Schizosaccharomyces pombe: one gene and its partners. The gene in region 4 interacts genetically with the main gene of each other region. Each region holds a gene or a part of one and is shown on either strand. Other genes may lie near its edges.

Evidence for each region.
Region 1: mutations in cdc24 (region 4) and mcm2 impair growth when combined (synthetic growth defect), as found in Schizosaccharomyces pombe (one study listed by BioGRID).
Region 2: of cdc24 (region 4) and erf1, a mutation in one rescues a mutant of the other (synthetic rescue), as found in Schizosaccharomyces pombe (one study listed by BioGRID).
Region 3: of cdc24 (region 4) and pfh1, a mutation in one rescues a mutant of the other (synthetic rescue), as found in Schizosaccharomyces pombe (3 studies listed by BioGRID).

Annotation. Positions count from the first base shown.
Region 1 is NC_003423.3:1,190,668-1,195,785, reverse strand, and holds mcm2 (MCM complex subunit Mcm2), read left to right. Parts: upstream 1-1,643; 5' UTR 1,644-1,677; coding exon 1,678-1,910; exon of another isoform or gene 1,911-2,129; coding exon 2,130-4,389; 3' UTR 4,390-4,578; downstream 4,579-5,118. Other genes in the region: ubiquitin protein ligase E3 component mlo2, read right to left, coding at 443-1,432; COPII-coated vesicle-associated protein Sfb3, read left to right, coding at 4,974-5,118. UniProt on the Schizosaccharomyces pombe protein: Acts as a component of the mcm2-7 complex (mcm complex) which is the putative replicative helicase essential for 'once per cell cycle' DNA replication initiation and elongation in eukaryotic cells.
Region 2 is NC_003424.3:4,689,813-4,694,281, forward strand, and holds erf1 (cytoplasmic translation release factor class I eRF1), read left to right. Parts: upstream 1-1,967; 5' UTR 1,968-2,114; coding exon 2,115-3,416; 3' UTR 3,417-3,926; downstream 3,927-4,469. Other genes in the region: GDP-mannose transporter Vrg4, read left to right, coding at 358-1,395; multifunctional aromatic polypeptide Aro1, read left to right, coding at 3,959-4,469. UniProt on the Schizosaccharomyces pombe protein: Component of the eRF1-eRF3-GTP ternary complex, a ternary complex that mediates translation termination in response to the termination codons. The eRF1-eRF3-GTP complex binds to a stop codon in the ribosomal A-site.
Region 3 is NC_003423.3:3,567,049-3,572,487, reverse strand, and holds pfh1 (DNA repair and recombination protein), read left to right. Parts: upstream 1-2,011; 5' UTR 2,012-2,299; coding exon 2,300-3,554; exon of another isoform or gene 3,555-3,595; coding exon 3,596-4,758; 3' UTR 4,759-4,895; downstream 4,896-5,439. Other genes in the region: sphingosine hydroxylase/sphingolipid delta-4 desaturase Sur2, read left to right, coding at 227-1,108; cem1 (3-oxoacyl-[acyl-carrier-protein]-synthase condensing enzyme), read left to right, coding at 5,301-5,439.
Region 4 is NC_003424.3:2,863,205-2,867,525, forward strand, and holds cdc24 (DNA replication protein Cdc24), read right to left. Parts: upstream 2,623-4,321; 5' UTR 2,584-2,622; coding exon 2,492-2,583; exon of another isoform or gene 2,437-2,491; coding exon 2,352-2,436; exon of another isoform or gene 2,298-2,351; coding exon 2,270-2,297; exon of another isoform or gene 2,206-2,269; coding exon 2,006-2,205; intron 1,948-2,005; coding exon 1,284-1,947; intron 1,239-1,283; coding exon 1,104-1,238; intron 1,063-1,103; coding exon 761-1,062; 3' UTR 526-760; downstream 1-525. Other genes in the region: brr6 (nuclear envelope protein Brr6/Brl1), read left to right, coding at 1-363; SPOM_SPAC8F11.08C (esterase/lipase), read right to left, coding at 2,975-3,031, 3,085-4,158. UniProt on the Schizosaccharomyces pombe protein: Has a role in the progression of DNA replication and in the maintenance of genomic integrity. Acts during S phase, after initiation, where it is essential for completion.

The DNA of each region.
Region 1 (5,118 bases), on a different chromosome or scaffold from region 4:
TAACAAAAAAAAAATACCCAGACAGGGTTTCTCTTTAGCTTTCTCAATCAAAAATAAAAGATAAAAGACGCAACCACCAAAACTATAGATAGGTTTAAAAATTTTAATGAGTGCAGTTAAAATAGGAGAGACAAGAAAGCTAGAAGTTCAATATATTAATTATTGTTCAAATATACATACAAATTTGTCATCATCATTAAAATCATGTATACCAACAAGCCCCAGTAAGCCTCTCAAATTAACCATCTCTGTTAAGAAAATCAATTAAACCATTTTTGATAGAGAAATGATTACGTTTAACCATAAGCACATAGAAAATATCTCTGGTTTCACCAGTATAAACAGCGTTTCACAAAAAGCATCACCAGATTAAGTATAACCTACATGTTTTGACGTTAAATTATACGCCAAAAAAGAAGGGAATTCAAAAAAGTTATTAACGCTACCGTAAATTTTTACTGATTCGAGATCGCTCCAAGAAAAAATTTGATATATCTTCCTTGGTGACAACCCTATTTTCACGAGCAAATGGAGTGAGGAAGTCCGTTAGCTCAGATTTTAAGCGATTATACGCATAAACGCTTTCGTTAGCTTGTACACGAGGAAGTCTGTCCAAAATACGAAGGACATCATTCATTGTGCTAGATATGACTTGCTCAATCATTTCTCCAGATTCACTGGGATCCTCATTCATCTCACTGATTCCATCCTCAGAATCCTCAGGAGGTTCGTAAATAGGTTCTTCTGCCACCAACATTGGCATCTCCAAATTACGCAAACTGATGCAAGATTCACAAGGGCACAAATTTTCCCTAAAGTTTTCTGAAAGAAATAGAGGCGCTCGTTCTGTACCAGCTATGCTTTCATGCTTCTGGTTTAAAAGATGATCGCGGTATTTTTCTGAACATTCTGAACACACCAACCATTCAAAAGTCTCAGCATCTGGGATTGCAATTCCTTTATTAGTTTTCTGCAGACACTTTTCGTGAAACCAATCTTCGCAAAGGATGCATTGAAACATAGTTCCTTCCTCTGTCTCTGGATTATACACCGTATCACATATGCAAAATCGCCCTTCGAAATTATGATTATAATCATTTTCTGAGCCACATTCATCAACGGATTTCCGTAAATTACAAGGTATGGAGTGGGTTCTTGTGGTGCCACAATCACATCGAAAATGTCGTTTATTGAATAGGTCCACAAGATCATGGTCAGCATGGCAGCTAATACTGCAGCTATAGCAAACAGCATTTAAGCTTCCGCTAGCTTTTTGACATGTCAAACAAGCGTATAAAGGTTGCTTCAAATAGCCCATCGAATAAGTGCACGTGTCAAAGCTGTAAGGCAAAACTTCTCGTGCCTCCCTTTCAAGCTCCCTTTGCTGTTCAACATATTGCTTAACCGTTAATTCATGAGCCGTTTCCTCCATAAGTTATTAAATGCAACTAAACGTTGGCAAATAGACGGCGTAAACAATTGCGAAGAATGTCTTTTGAATAATTCAAAACACTAACTCATTACGCTCCTCTATTTCATTTACAGGTATCACTACATTTTCCAATACAATTTAACAATATACTGTAGCATTTCTTATTCTTTCATCCTGCAATACTCTAGCTATTCAATGCATTAAAATAGTTAGAAACAACATCTTTAAAGTATTTGAGTCCAAAGATGGATTCTTTTCGGAAAAGGGGTCGCCGCGATTCTGAAAGTTTACCTTTTGAATCAGAAAATTCTTCTCTCGGTGCTACACCTCTTTCTTTACCTCCTTCTTCACCTCCTCCAGAATTCTCTGATGAAGCTGCAGAAGCTCTCGTGGAGGAGGATATTGAGGATCTGGACGGAGAAGCTTTAGATGTAGAGGATGAAGAAGGTGAAGATTTGTTCGGAGAAGGAATGGAACGGTAAGTTTTATAGCTATGCTTGAGACGTGTCTTGTCAATGTTGTGTATACTAAGTGTTGCCATCAATATATAAATTACATACTATTTCTTCTCCTTCTTGTAAATAAATATATTTATTGGATTCCTAGGTTGCGGTTATATTGACAGAACAAATCTTGATTTTCAAAAGAGTAGTTTCACATTTCGCGTCAAATAAGGTACTTTTTTCTAACTGTATAGTGATTATCAACAAAATTTGGAGCTAGATCGTTATGACATTGAAGAACTAGATGACGATAACGATCTTGAAGAATTAGATATCGGGGCCCGAAGAGCTGTTGATGCCAGGTTGAGACGACGTGATATTGAGCTCGATGCTGCTGCAGGTAGAACAAAACCTGCTGCATTTTTACAAGATGAAGATGATGATTTGGACTCCAATCTTGGCACAGGCTTCACTCGTCATCGACATCGAATTTACGACGAATATTCACCTAATGTTGGCGCATTGGACGAATCTGGTGAACTTCCTCTTGAATCAATTGCCGACGTAAAGGCCGATAGTATTGCCGAATGGGTTACTCTTGATCCTGTTCGGCGTACAATTGCTCGAGAATTCAAAAATTTCCTTCTTGAATATACAGATGAAAATGGCACCTCTGTATACGGTAACCGTATTCGCACATTGGGTGAGGTTAATGCTGAGTCGTTGATGGTTAATTATGCCCATCTTGGTGAATCTAAACCCATTTTGGCTTATTTCTTGGCCAATGCGCCTGCACCTATTTTTCGCATATTTGATCGTGTTGCTTTGGAAGCCACTCTTTTGCATTATCCAGACTATGAAAGAATACACTCTGATATTCATGTTCGTATCACTAATCTTCCTACTTGTTTTACTTTACGCGATCTACGACAATCCCATCTTAATTGCCTTGTACGGGTATCTGGTGTCGTAACTAGGCGCACTGGGCTTTTTCCACAATTAAAATACATTCGGTTTACATGTACCAAATGTGGTGCTACTTTGGGTCCATTTTTTCAAGACTCTAGCGTTGAAGTAAAAATTTCTTTCTGTCACAACTGTTCCAGCCGTGGTCCGTTTGTAATCAACTCTGAACGGACTGTATATAATAACTATCAAAGGATCACTTTACAAGAATCACCTGGCACCGTCCCCTCAGGTAGACTGCCTCGACACCGTGAAGTTATTCTTTTAGCGGACTTGGTTGATGTTGCCAAACCAGGCGAAGAGATTGATGTTACTGGCATATACCGCAATAACTTCGATGCTAGTCTGAATACCAAAAACGGGTTTCCTGTCTTCGCTACAATTATAGAAGCAAATCACATATCGCAACTTGACGGCAGTGGTAATACTGATGATGATTTCTCTTTAAGTCGGCTTACTGATGATGAGGAAAGGGAAATTCGGGCATTAGCAAAGTCGCCTGATATTCACAACAGAATTATTGCATCGATGGCGCCTTCTATTTATGGACATCGCTCTATCAAAACTGCTATTGCTGCTGCTTTATTCGGTGGTGTCCCCAAAAATATTAACGGTAAGCATAAAATTAGAGGTGATATCAATGTTTTATTGTTGGGAGATCCAGGAACCGCCAAATCTCAATTTCTTAAGTATGTTGAAAAAACGGCACATAGGGCTGTCTTCGCCACAGGTCAGGGTGCCAGTGCTGTTGGTCTAACTGCATCCGTCCGTAAAGACCCCATTACGAATGAATGGACTTTGGAAGGGGGTGCTTTGGTTTTAGCAGATAAAGGTGTTTGTTTGATTGACGAGTTCGATAAAATGAATGATCAGGATCGTACTTCTATTCACGAAGCCATGGAACAACAAAGTATTTCTATTTCTAAGGCGGGTATTGTGACTACCTTGCAGGCGAGGTGCACTATTATTGCTGCCGCTAATCCCATCGGTGGACGTTATAACACTACAATTCCTTTTAATCAAAATGTTGAGCTGACCGAACCTATTTTATCTCGTTTTGACATCCTTCAGGTCGTCAAAGACACGGTTAATCCTGAAATTGATGAACAGCTAGCTAATTTTGTTGTATCAAGTCATATTCGATCTCATCCTGCATTTGATCCGAATATGGATGTCTTGAAGAAAGTCCCTACTGAGACTGGTATTGATGCCAAACCCATTCCCCAAGATCTTCTTCGTAAATATATCCATTTCGCTCGTGAAAAAGTTTTTCCTCGATTACAGCAAATGGATGAAGAAAAGATTTCGAGACTTTATAGCGATATGAGACGCGAGTCACTGGCTACTGGAAGTTATCCTATTACTGTGCGTCATCTGGAGTCTGCTATCCGTTTAAGTGAAGCATTTGCAAAAATGCAGCTCAGTGAGTTTGTGCGCCCTTCACATATAGACAAAGCCATTCAAGTGATTATTGATTCCTTTGTGAATGCCCAAAAAATGAGTGTTAAACGAAGTTTGTCAAGAACATTTGCTAAATATCTTATTTAATTTTTTGACACAATCAGTTTATGGAGTCCAGTGATTTTGATTTCCCCGTTCTTTGACCCTCCTTTTGTTACTGCATCTGTTGCATATATCTATCCTTTAATAATTTGCAATCAAAATTTGCTTTACATTTTTATACCTATCTTTACATTCATTCTTTCTTAGTTTTCAAAATGTCAATCTAAATTATTTAGGTTAATAACACTTGTTTTGAATATCATTATTGACTATTCGCTATAGATACTAGGTGTATAGATACTTTCTCCGCTGTATCAATATTATTAGCTGTTTCATTAAAGAGCCACTGCCCATGTGAAATGACATTTTTTGAAACAGCTGAGGTTTTTTACATATAGAGCTAAATTGTCCATTTCCAAATTTAAAGGGAAGTCAACTTTTGACAATCGGAAATGCATCCAGTTCATATCTGATGTTCCTGAAGAATCTCAAATTTCACACTTTATTATCTAAAATTATTTATATCGTGTTACTCTTTCAAATCAGTCTTTTTATTTGGTATATATTTTGCCCTACCCTTACCTACTTATATTCGTACATCCACCAAGTAAACTTGACACAAAAACAAAATGGCCTATCCCGGGCAGTTTGGAAATTACGGTAATCCTGAGACTTATAGGCAAAATGTTGCTGGCAATATTGCTTCATATGGGGGCCCTGAAATTGACACTCAGTTAGCTGCTCAAATGAACGCACAAATGTATATACAGCAAG
Region 2 (4,469 bases), 1.8 Mb from region 4:
GAAAACGATCTTCATACACTAAGGAATTTCACAACAATTCAAACACAGCTTTTACAGTAAATGCTCATACTTTGTTGTAAAACATATGAATTGGTGTAACATTAAGTGTGGCTTGCAGGCGAAAATACTCTTTTATAGATGAACAAAAAAGTATTTAAATAATTATATTTTATATGAGAAGACCAAGTTATTTAAGTTTGATCAACAGAGATGTTAATCAATCTGTATGCCAAAACTTGTTACCAATGGACTGTGTCTTTGAGGAAGGGTAAGGCCTGTTACGTACGCGCTCCTTCCAAACATGGTGGGTAGGTATGTAGACAACTTCACCGGAGCCATCACGAAATTCCAACAACAATGGATAATCATATGCTAAACCGAATTAGTAAATCACCGATTCTTCCAGTGGTGTCATATTGCATGGCTTCCATATTGATGACTTTGACCAATAAATATGTTCTTTCGAGTCCTGGTTACAATATGAACTTTCTCCTTTTGACTGTACAATCCACTGTTTGTGTAGCAGCCATTGGGATACTAAAACGTTTGAAAGTTATTAATTATAGGGATTTTGATTTTCGTGAGGCCAAATTTTGGTTTCCTATTTCCTTTTTATTGGTAGCTATGATTTATACTGCATCGAAGGCTTTGCAATTTCTTTCTGTTCCAGTGTACACTATATTTAAGAATTTAACTATTATTATCATTGCTTATGGTGAGGTCCTTTGGTTTGGCGGGCATGTTACTGCTTTAACTCTTTTTTCTTTTGGATTAATGGTTCTTTCTTCTATTGTCGCTGCTTGGGCAGACATCCAGTCTTCCTCATTTGCTTCCCAAACCTTAAATTCTGGCTATTTATGGATGGTGCTTAACTGTCTCACAAATGCTGCTTTTGTTCTCGCGATGCGTAAGCGTATCAAACTTACCAACTTTCGTGACTTTGATACCATGTTTTATAACAACTTACTCAGTATCCCTGTTTTGGTTATCTGCACGCTCTTTACTGAGGACTGGAGTGCTGAAAACATTGCTCAAAATTTCCCTCCTGATGCCAAATTTGGTGTTCTAATGGCTATGGCTATTAGTGGTGTTTCTTCAGTAGGAATTTCTTACACCTCTGCCTGGTGTGTACGCGTAACTTCTTCGACAACTTATAGTATGGTTGGTGCTCTTAACAAACTTCCCTTGGCTATTGCCGGTTTAGTGTTTTTTGATGCACCCATCACTTTTGGATCTGTTACCGCTATTTTGTTGGGCTTTATTTCTGGTGTTGTTTATGCCGTTGCTAAATCTCAACAGCAACGTCAGAAAGATCCTGCTACCATCCTCCCTATGACTCATAATCCCGTTAGTGCTAGTTCTCAAAGCATGCGCGATAGTCTGTCAAAGTCTTAAACCCTTTGTGTTGGTTATTATTTATGTTTAATTTGCAAAATTTTTTCAAGCCTGCATAAGAGAATAGACTTTGTTTCTTTTTACTTAAAAAGTTTTTATTACCGTTACTCAAAATATACCGCTTTTACTCGTGTTCGATAAAAACCTGATTACGAGATCGTGTCGTTTATTACAACGTGACTATTAGGTTTGAAATATTTTGACAGATAAAACACTGACATTCAATTACAATTTTTAGACCTCTATTATTTCATTTCCTAAATCATTTGCTTTTTTTTTCTAAATATCATTTCTTTCTTTAAAATGCTCTCCGATGGAAAAAGGACGTCTAATGTTCTTATGTCTTCGTTTCCTTTTACTGAGCTTCTAAACTATTGGTTGAATGTTTGTCAGCCGCTTGGAGTCGAATTGTTTAGTGATTCAATTTTACTAATATTTTACCTCCAAAAAATTATTTGTTTTTTTGTATATTATTGAAATACTGTAATAAATACAAATACGATAGCTAAGTTAACGAAATGTATCGTGCTAAAAGTTTTCATAGGCCGTCACCTTTCAGTAGGCAAAAACCTACCAACTACCAAAAACGAAGTACAAGAGGTAATTCGTTGCTTGAACTGTCTGTTCAAGTTATAAAAAAATAGGATTTCGGTTTTCGGATTTTTCATAGTGTGTACAAGAACCTTGGGTATAAAAAACTTTAAAACAAATTTTACAAAATGAGTGAGACTGCTGAGAAAGCTATCGAAATTTGGAAAATTCGCCGTTTGGTAAAACAATTGATTAACTGTCATGGAAACGGCACCTCAATGATTACGTTAATTATCCCACCTGGCGAACAAATATCCAGATACAGCAATATGCTTGCCGAAGAGTATGGCACTGCCTCTAACATTAAATCTCGTGTGAATCGTTTATCAGTTCTATCTGCAATTACTTCAACTCGTGAGCGTTTGAAATTGTACAATAAAGTCCCTGATAATGGATTGGTCATTTACTGCGGTGAAGTTATAATGGAGGGCAATAAGACACGCAAGCTCAACATTGATTTCGAACCCTTCAAACCAATTAATACTTCGCAATATCTTTGTGATAATAAATTTCATACTGAAGCTTTAGCAGAATTGCTTGAAAGTGATCAACGCTTCGGATTTATTGTTATGGACGGTCATCAAACTTTATATGGTGTTGTTTCTGGTAGTGCTCGTGAGGTTTTACAACGATTCACTGTCGATTTACCTAAAAAACATGGACGTGGTGGTCAATCTGCTCTTCGTTTTGCCCGTTTACGTGATGAAAAACGTCACAACTATGTTCGAAAGGTTGCTGAAGGTGCTGTGCAGCATTTTATTACTGATGATAAACCTAATGTTGCGGGTATTGTTCTTGCTGGTTCTGCTGATTTTAAAACGGAACTCGGTCAAAGTGACTTGTTTGACCAACGTCTTCAATCTCGTATTATCAAGACTGTAGACGTCTCGTACGGTGGCGACGCTGGTTTTAACCAGGCTATAGAATTGGCTGCTGATACTTTGTCAAATGTGAAATATGTCCAAGAGAAAAAATTGATACAACGCTTTTTCGACGAAATTAGCTTAGATTCGGGTAAATACTGTTTTGGTGTCGTTGATACTATGAATGCACTTCAGGAAGGTGCCGTAGAAACACTTCTGTGTTTTGCAGACCTTGATATGATCCGTTATGAGTTTAAGAACTCAGAAGGTAATCCTGTTATTACATATATGACTAAGGAGCAAGAGGAAAAGGATTCTACCAATTCGTTCTTGCTAGATAAGGATACAGGTGCTGAAATGGAGTTAGTAAGCTCTATGCTACTCTCTGAATGGCTTGCTGAACATTACAAGGATTACGGTGCTAACTTAGAGTTTGTTTCTGACCGATCTCAGGAAGGTATGCAATTTGTCAAAGGTTTTGGTGGTATTGGTGCTGTTATGCGTTACCAGCTTGATCTCTCCATGCTTGATCCTGAATCTGATGAATTTTATTCCGACTCCGACTAATTTTCCCCTTAAAAGTAATATAATAAACTAAGCGTGATTTGTATTTACCGATTGTCATTTAATCTTTTTGAGTTACTATCTTTTGTTGGTTGCTTAGTGATATTTGAGGTTTGCCATTATAAATCTTATCGACTTATTTTTCTTAGACTATGTAAATTCACTCGCTTCTTCTCCTTCATAAGTTGTGTCGTACTATTATTCTTTTTGTTTTTTTCAAATAAATTAGCGGTAGGCTAATATTTTTCTTTAGCTGCCTTCACTGCTGTCCGCAAATTTGGGAAAATATTAATTAAAATGCCGAGCATCATACTGATTTCTCGAACAGTAAGTATATTGCATCTCTTACGATTTTAAGTTTAAATATTTCTAAAATTGCAAGTTTAGCAATTAAATAAGTATTTAGGATTGATTTAGTTTGTGATTTGAGCTCTCATGAATTTTAGCATTAACGAGATTTACGGTCGTATCTTGTCGCAATCTACAAATAGAAGCTTGTCCTTAGCAAGTAGCATATATCTTGCAATACTATAATCTTCTGCAAGATGTCAAACGAATCTAATATAATTACAGTTCCTATACTCGGAAAGGATACTGTGAGAGTTGGATTTGGTATACATCAATATATATGCACTGAAATTCTGGAAAACTTCAAGTCTTCGACATACGTCGTAATTACAGATTCAAATATTGCACCTCTTTACCTGGAAAAGATTGAAAGTACTTTTAATAAGTCTATTAAAGATGCCAAGGCTGAAGCAAGGTTGCTTACTTATGTGATTCCTCCTGGAGAATCTTCAAAATGCCGAGCTATGAAAGCGGAAATTGAAGATTGGTTGCTCACACAATCCTGTACACGAGATACCATCCTTATTGCTATGGGAGGTGGAGTTATTGGTGATTTAGTGGGATATGTAGCTGCTTCATTCATGCGTGGCATTCGTTTTATTCAGATGCCTACCACCTTGCTTGCTATGGTTGATTCTTCTATTGGAGGGAAGACAGGTATTGACACTCCCTTGGGAAAAAACCTTGTTGGTGCTTTTTGGCAACCTC
Region 3 (5,439 bases), on a different chromosome or scaffold from region 4:
TTGTTGTTTTAAAAGGTTCCTTATTGGTTTCATCGTTTTTCAATTGTTTGTATAAATCACATTTCTTGCCGTTTGTGATTTGTATATATTGTACCAACTGTTTTCTTTCTTCAGTCTAGACACATAGATATATATTCGCATATATATAACTAATCAGCTTCTCTCTTTTCTTACACTTTCACTTAACTTTTTGCTATATTTTCGAATTTGAATTTTTCTTGCCACTATGGTTACCACCGTTGAAATGTTAACTACCTGGAACCCAGTGACCGTTTCCTTGGTTTCTCCTGTCATCATTTACTGGGTTGCTTCTGCTTTCTTCGGATTTTTGCATTACATTGAATTACCTGTCTTTGAGAAGTATCGCATTCATCCTCCGGAGGAGATAGCCAGACGCAACCGTGTTCCTCAGATGGCTGTTGTTAAAGCCGTGCTTTTCCAACAACTTTGCGAAGTCGTCGTTGGAATCGCATTGGCCATGTTCGAGGGCTATCCTGAACCCATTGACGAGGCTAAGCAAATGTTACGCTACGAGGCTTTCTTCAGCAAGAATTTGCCTGCTTTGTTACAAGTTGCTCCCTTTGCCCCTAAATTGGCTTATAACTTTATTGTTCCCGCATTCCAATACTTCTTTGCTTTCTTCATCATTGACAGCTGGCAATACTTCTGGCACCGTTACCTCCACTACAACAAGAAGCTCTACAACATGATTCATGCCCATCACCATCGTCTCCAAGTTCCCTATGCTATGGGTGCCCTTTACAACCATCCCTTTGAAGGTTTGATTTTGGACACTTTTGGCGCTGGTGTTGCTTATCTCGCCGCCGGTCTTTCTCCTCAACAAGCTGTTATTTTCTTCACCCTTTCTACCTTGAAGACTGTTGATGATCACTGTGGATACGTATTCCCTTATGACCCTCTTCAAATGTTCTTTGCCAATAATGCTCGTTACCATGACCTTCATCACCAACCTTACGGTTTCCAAAAGAACTTTAGCCAGCCCTTCTTTACCTTCTGGGACCACGTTTTGGGAACTTACATGCCTCCCAAGTCTGAAACTCCTTACGAGAAAAAGCAAAAGGCTAAGAATGCAAAGAAGGTTAACTAGAAATTACAAAAGTACATGTGCTCTGTGATATTTGCATTTTTTGAATCTTTCTTATCCTTAGTACTTCTGCTGAATCCAATATACTGTTTTTTTTATATTGAGTTATAAATGTTTACTATTAATTTTTTCTCATTCTTTCTAGTTTCTTTGTTTGCTATTTTCATTTTTTTTGAAATTTTATTAATCTAATTGTTCTTCCTTTTAAATTTGTCGGTAGTACAAATCGATTGGCAATCCTTACTGTTGAAGTTATCCCTCCTATGACTCTAGGTATTTGTGATAACCGTAACCTTGTATTTTTATGTTATTTTCCACTTCTAAAGTCTCTTTAAAACGGGATGTTTGACACGGACTGCTGAAGAACACGATACTTACCTAAAGATGCATGTTTTTGTGTATCTTTACCAAAGTTGGTTGGTCAACGAATTTAAATCGTTTGTCGCTCATTATTGAATTTTCGACTTAGTATTGATTGTTTTAGTCTACATACAGTATATAATTTATTAATTGATAGCATTTATTATTTACAGACTTCCGAGGATATGGTATCGTAGACGCGTTTTATCAAATATTATAAAATTAATAACTTACTGTAAACACGGGTTAATATTTGCTTCGATTGTAACATATTATAACAAAAGTCAATTTATTTGCATTGCATTGCATAGGCCCCGAAAGCAAATTATGCAAGTTATACTTAAGGAACGACTAATGTAAAAAGGACTTTATGATAATTACAGTATTGAATGATAAAAAATTTGTGCAAAAGTTGTGAAGTAAAAAACACGTGCCTGGTGGTGACAGACGTGACGCGTCTTGACATACGCGCTTTCATTTGTCTCGTCCACTACCACCGTAAATTTGATTTTTATTAGTATAGCGCTTTCATTTCTGTACCTCCTTGTCAACAGCCGTTTCCTCGACATTGACAAATTTCTTCAACCGGTATCCCAATTAATACAATCAACAAAGGGATACTTCCAACTCTTATGTGCTTGGACCGCTTATCATAGGTGTTAGGTCGAGGTCGCATAAGTCAGTAGCAGATTGTTGTTTAAATTCAAACTGAAATTGTTTTCTTGTTGCTTTTCTTCGATCAAACAATTTTGGGTGATCTATTTCGTTTACGGTTTCTTTTTTTAGACAACCTGCGTACAGATCGCCTTCCAGTTTCTTGAAGTAATTCGATGAATGTTTTCGTGCCAATCTCTTTATAAATTTAGTCACTCTTTTAGGAAACGTATCCCCGTCATGTTTCAAAGAGCTCAGCAGAAAAGCAGCTTGCTTCATACACAAAACGAGTCATCGCATCAACCCTCCTTGAACAAATTGGGCGGTTTTTCGTCCGCTTCTTTAAACTTCAATTCCTCTCGCTCCTCTACTAATGATGATCAGCAAACATTTTCTAGCCAGTCTGATAACCTTCCGTCATCTCCAATAACCCTACCAGCCAAAAGAGGTCGTTCTGCTGCTAGCTTAAAACAACTTGATAACACCGTGGGATTCGATGTTTCGAAACCCTCACTGCCCGTTTTTGAAAATTCTGGCTTGGGTAGTAAATACTCCACTGAAATAGCGAATGGCGTCTATATTGATGAAAATGACTTTGATGATGATCTACTTTTAGAAAACGATATTGACCAAAAACCAATTCCTTGGTCTTCATCCCCTATCGAGCATACTAAGTTAACTAAATCAATGCTCTCGAGCGAAAAGCGGTCAAAAAATCATCTCTCAAAAATTTACGAAGACCATACTTCTGAAAAAGGCGCAAGTAGCGTAATATCTAGTAATATTACGAGGCAGGGAATAAAACGCTCACGAACCCTTCCTTGGGCAGTGGATCCTTACAGATATGGAGATCCTGATCCTAAAAGAACCAGCACTTCAGCTGATATCAGTCAACACACTGTATCTAATGATTCTTCAAATAAGCTTAGCAATGGACGAAGCAGTTCTTTGGATAGTCTGGCTAAAAAACGCATGAGTAAATCTAAGTCTACCCCACAGATATCTAAAAAATTTTCTGTTCCTTTAAACTCTGCTTCCAAATCGCCAATAGGATCTTCTTTGTTTAAGACAAGTGATTCTCGTAAAAAATCTGTCCCTAGCATATTCCTTTCCGATGAGCAAAAAAGAATTTTAGACATGGTTGTTGAGCAACAACACAGTATATTTTTTACGGGCTCTGCTGGAACAGGTAAATCTGTTCTCCTCCGAAAAATAATTGAAGTCCTAAAATCTAAATATAGAAAGCAATCTGACAGAGTTGCTGTTACCGCTTCTACAGGCTTGGCAGCCTGTAATATCGGCGGTGTAACACTTCACTCCTTTGCTGGGGTAGGCCTTGCTCGTGAATCTGTCGACCTCCTGGTATCTAAAATAAAGAAAAATAAGAAGTGTGTTAATCGTTGGTTGCGCACCAGAGTTTTGATCATTGATGAAGGTAAACAATTTAAGTGAGTTTATATTTACTAATAACTATAGTTTCTATGGTCGATGCTGAATTAATGGACAAGTTAGAAGAGGTTGCGCGTGTTATTCGCAAAGATAGTAAGCCATTTGGTGGAATTCAGTTGGTTTTAACTGGGGATTTTTTTCAGTTACCTCCTGTTCCAGAAAATGGGAAAGAATCGAAATTCTGTTTCGAATCTCAGACATGGAAAAGCGCACTTGATTTTACAATAGGATTGACTCACGTTTTTCGGCAAAAGGATGAGGAATTTGTCAAAATGCTTAATGAATTGCGCCTCGGGAAATTATCTGATGAATCGGTTAGAAAATTCAAAGTTCTTAATAGAACGATTGAATATGAAGATGGGCTTCTTCCGACAGAGTTATTTCCCACACGTTATGAGGTTGAGCGTTCGAACGATATGCGTATGCAACAAATTAATCAAAATCCTGTCACGTTTACCGCTATTGACTCGGGTACTGTTCGAGATAAAGAATTTCGTGACCGATTACTGCAAGGGTGCATGGCTCCTGCCACTTTAGTGTTAAAGGTAAATGCTCAGGTAATGCTTATAAAGAATATAGATGATCAGTTAGTAAATGGATCTCTTGGAAAAGTTATAGGTTTCATAGATGATGAGACCTATCAAATGGAAAAAAAGGATGCTGAAATGCAGGGAAGAAATGCTTTTGAATATGATAGTTTAGACATTTCACCCTTTGATCTTCCAGACGTTAAGCAAAAGAAATATAAATTGATTGCAATGCGTAAAGCTTCATCCACGGCAATAAAATGGCCATTAGTTCGTTTTAAACTTCCAAATGGAGGTGAACGTACAATTGTTGTACAACGGGAAACTTGGAATATTGAGCTTCCCAATGGTGAGGTTCAAGCTTCTAGAAGCCAAATTCCTCTTATTTTGGCTTATGCGATATCTATTCACAAGGCACAAGGACAGACTTTGGATCGAGTCAAGGTTGATTTGGGTCGTGTTTTTGAGAAAGGGCAAGCGTATGTTGCCTTATCTCGTGCAACTACTCAAGAAGGTCTCCAGGTTCTTAATTTTTCGCCTGCGAAGGTGATGGCACACCCCAAAGTCGTGCAATTCTATAAACAACTGGCTTCTGTTAATGGTTTGCCGATACGTAATGAAAACAAGGCTCCAGTTCAAATGAGGGGAGTCAAAAATAAGTAAAAATCAATTTTTACGAGTTTACCATGTACTAAAGATTTATTCATAACGGCCTGAATATATATGGTTGAAGTGTACAGTGATTTTAGACTAATTAGGTAATTTTATTCATAGAAATAATTTTAATAATATATTCATATATTTAATTTCTTCTTTGTTTATTAAATTTGAGCTTTACATTTATTATTATTTTTCCTATGGTGCTAATTCATTTCTATAACAGCGGTATTCCTTGAGGATGTTTAATTATGTACAGGAAGTAATTGTTACAAGGCCACCTTCTAGTAATCTTTAACTATCGCATAAACTGTAATTAAACGAACAGGGTGCACCTCGCTTCAATCAGTCTCTTAACTTTAATAGCCAACACACCTTGACCATGCATAAAAACTGAACATTTAATCCACTTTCAATCAGAACTTTGAAATCGATAACATAAACACAGTTTTGATCGATTTATATACTGTTAAATTCTCGCCTCAAATACCCTGTCGAAAGAAACGACAGATAATCTATTATTATTTCCACAAAGTAATGCTAGAAAAATGAAACGTGTGGTAATAACTGGACTGGGGGCCGTAACCCCTCTAGGCAATGGAGTTAAAACCAATTGGCGAAATCTAATTCAAGGAAAATCAGGTATCGTATCTCTTAAAGGATTTCCTGAGTATGAGCAAATACCAA
Region 4 (4,321 bases):
GACTCTCCAGGACCTGCTATTTTTGAAGTTTGTCAAAAACTGAAACAATGTAAAATGGAAAGTTCTAATAATGTCGGTTCTACAAAGTTGGCAGCGTTAGTTTTTGCTGAGATTATAGACGCTTTTATAAGTCATATTTCTTATAAAACTATGGTTTTTTCCCTCATTCTTGTATTTGGAAGTCTACTAACATCCAATTACGCCTTTGGTCTTTATAGAGCTAGACATTCTCAAAATATCCACGATTATGCTGCCAACGCTATCCCGGCGATGATACCGTCCAGTAGATTCCTTCCTTCCAATCTTTCTGATATTTCCAATAGAAACCTTATCGAAGCTGCCTCTCAGGAGGAAGAAATTTGAACGTCTTCATTTTTCTACTAACCTCATTTTTCTTAAAATCATTTTTCATCACTTTCATTTATATCATTACTTTGAACGTTATTGGTATGCTTTCTAATTTGGCATACAAATTTCGTTATTCGGATTCATTTTCTTTTATAATTTTGTTAATTTAGCTGTTCATTGTATCGTATTGCTTTGTTTCTCACAAGGGTGAGCCAATTAATATTCTAACTTTGAATTTCTTTTTTGGAAAAATGCATTATTTATAAGCCTTTTAAACTGTAGTATATTAGTAAATTAAGCAAACTAAGCTTTTAAAACGGAGAATGATTGAATGAACTGTACATCTTTTCATTCAAACATTCAATGTTTGATTTTTATTTGTTAGACATAATTATTCAGATAATGGCGATGGCTATTCACACGGCAGAGAGTTTATTTTTTGTATATGGCAGTTGTGTTCTGAGTCCACATAAATATCACACCAATGGAATCCGAGCTTGTACGACTTCAAATCCAGGTATATTGGAAATTCCATTTCTTTTTGGAATAATTCTTTAAAGCCGGAAATCATAGACGCAAAATATGAAACACAATTCGGTCGTAAAGCTGCCCAAAAACTATTCCTTAAACAGTCAATTACCTCCATTTTTGCTGTTAATGGATTTACTTCCGGCAAGACCAAACTGGTATTTAAATCAGATTGGCGGGTTAAATCTATCATTCAATTAGTATTTCGTAAAACAAGCAACCCTTACTCGCTACAAATCCGGTGATCACCAAAGTTAACGGTTGAATTTTTAAATGCCCAGAAACACCTGAAAAAAGGTTGGAGAACTTGCATAAATCATTTCTCAAAAAGTTTGAGGATAACGGGTTCTCCAAGTTTGACACTAAAATAAATCAATATTCAATCCCATAAATTTACCATTTCTTACGAATTTCAGTCGTTGTGTCACTAACGCATGAATAATCACTTAGATTGTCAGAAGAATGATTGATTGGGCTAATGCATAGCAAATCTCCAATATAGGTATCCTTGAAATAATGCTTTTGAGAATTGGAATACAATATCTTCACTCGCTGACCATTGTTATCCAGTACAAGAAAATTTGAATTAACGGCAGCTAAGCGTCCCACTTGCCAGGAGTCGCATTTTTTTTCTTCAAAGTCATTCTCACTTAAAATTACCAAAATACCGATCATTCCATCCTGCCAGTTGGTACTGCCTTCCCAAACGGTACTCCAAAATGGAATAAGTAGGTATTGTTGCTTGTCTAGCAGCTTAGGGAAATCATGGTAAGTCCCTGAGAAATGTATAAAATTGGTATTGTTGTCTATAAGAAAAGCACCTTTTTTGTCTAAAGAAATGATGCGACCCAATTCCACAGTAATTCGTTTCACACCTTGATCACTTTTGCTTATAGTAATATCACGTATTTGAAAGAATTCATGTTCAGTTGATTCAACCATTGATTTCACAAAACTTTTTGATGCAGCATATTGCAATACTGGAACAAAGCTAGTTGTAGGAAGGAAACGTATTTGCTTTCGTAAATACCATTTTTGATGGATGCGTGACTGAGAAAAGCGTAAAGTTGACTAAATAAAGGTCTTAGATAATCACTGTTATAAAGGAGATGATATTCAAAAACCTTACACCTTTCAAAATGTTAAATGGTTCATGGAAGAGTAAATAAAAACTGGAATGCAAAATCATTTCGCACGTATTCTCCTCACTATCTTTCAGCTTCAAAGACGGTATTGGGGTATAATAATAATCATAGCAATGAAAATGAAACTGGTCTTCCAAATAAATAACTGCATCTGATTTCGTTAACCATTCCAAAGAAGAAAAAACTGTTTACAAAAAAGGAGGTCAATATCTCTTTATACCAAAAAAAAAAGTAAACTTTCTCGTTACCATTGTCCAATTTATTTCTCTCCGAGCACTACGTTCATGCATGTCAGATTTTATCGACTTGTAGAGTAAGTAGATTCCTTACCGCTAATTCAATCTCGTTAATTAAAATGGGATAGCTAAACCCTGAGGGATACTCCTTTAACAAGCTGATAGTTTTGTTTATTAACCTAAATTGTCAGTAGCCACTCTTTACATATGCGTTAACTTTTAGCATCTACTCACCAGTAATCAGTGAATGCTGGTTGTTTAGATTTCTCAACTAAGCGGTTTTCTAGATCTTCTTTTATTTTTTTAATCAGACCTGGAAAATCCATATAATCATTAAATTTACTACTGCTCTAAGATTAGTAGTTGATAGAATATAGATAATTGACAGCTGCCTAAATACTCCATTTAGTATCATCTGTTTTTATACTGTTACGCCTAATGATATTGAACAATACTTATAAAATTTTTACAATTTAAAAACTTGTTTGCTGTCATTATTTTTGTTATTTCATATCACAATCGAAATTTTAAGTAAGAAGACACAATAAACAGCATATAACCAAATATAATATTTAATTCATTTAAAACAGATATCTATCCGGTTTTGGGATGCTTGTCAAAAAAGATGAAACATCTAGCAAACAAAAAAGCATATGCTTGTAAAATATTAAAACAAACTTAAAACTACCCATCTAGAGAAGGAATGCACTCGTAAAATTAAATTGTTTTCTTATTATCTTCTACTAAGAAGAACCAACGTGCGATGAACGTAGCCTGGCGGGTTAGTAAACGATTAACGAAATAAGGAATTTACTATATTGACATACCGTTGAGATTGTTCTTGGAGAAGTAAATTCATAATAATAAGGGACAGCACCAGGTACAACAAAATTTTTAATCAATGATGCCTTTTCGGATGATTCTCTATCATTACTGTCGCTAACCGGATTGACATCTCCAGCATGTAATGTCATCATAGGAATAGTGGATTGATTTGTCCACACTAAATTTTGAATAGAACGGGGACACAGAGCAAAAATGCCTTTTACAGAGTTTGGTCGAATGTGTTTTAGACTCTCAAGAGCGACAGACGCACCAGTATCTTCACCTAGGAAAAAAATACGTTCTGGATCTGCATCATAATAGATGGCATTCTCTACTATCCAATCTACACACAAAGATACAAATTCGACGGCATCGGAAAGGGGAAATTTTGGAGGCTGGGCGTAATTGGGAACCACTACGAAGAAGCCTAAAGATGAAAGGTAGGGAATGATAATGCTTTCGGATTTCTTAGCACCACAAACCCAAACAATAACAGAAGATGCGGATGCAGATTTTGGAGGTGAATAAGCGTTTAATAAAAGGTGACTTTTGTAAACGAGACGCTCAGCATTATTTTTGGCTAAAAGCCAGTTAGGAAGATAAGAGATGTATGGGTAGCGTTTGACGGTTGTCCCATGTAAATCATTGATAAATAACCTACTGAAGCATTTTGCAAGTGAGCTATTTTTTTGCTGATCGCGGTTACCGATGCTTGGTTCAAGAGATGCGGGTAATTCAGACTCGAGTTTTCGGGCGGCAAGTACATTAACAGCGGCCAAAGCAAACAAGGATCCAAGGCCAAGCATATCAACAAAAAATATTTTGTCGTAGAAAGAAGAAAATTGGGCACCCATACGCTCAGCAATTATAGTAGCAACGAACTTAACGCTTGCCGCTTCTAAGCTTTTCTCTGAAACAAAAGCAAAAAAAGAAGCAACATTTGATTCAGATGCACCGATGACTATCTTGGACAACAACTTAACCAAAAATTTGCGAACTTCCAGCTGGTATGCTGAAAGAATCACAAAAGATGAAAGTACTACCCAAATAGAATAAAGAATCGTCGCAAACCCCATTACTACATGGAATGATTTTTGTCTCAATACTAAATTGGTTAATATAATGTGTGAAAAATAAAATAATTTCAGTAAATAATCATGTCTGTTTTCGTTCTGATGACTTTCAATTGAAGAAATTACGAAGTCCACATTGGGAGAAAAAGCATAAATACGAACCAAC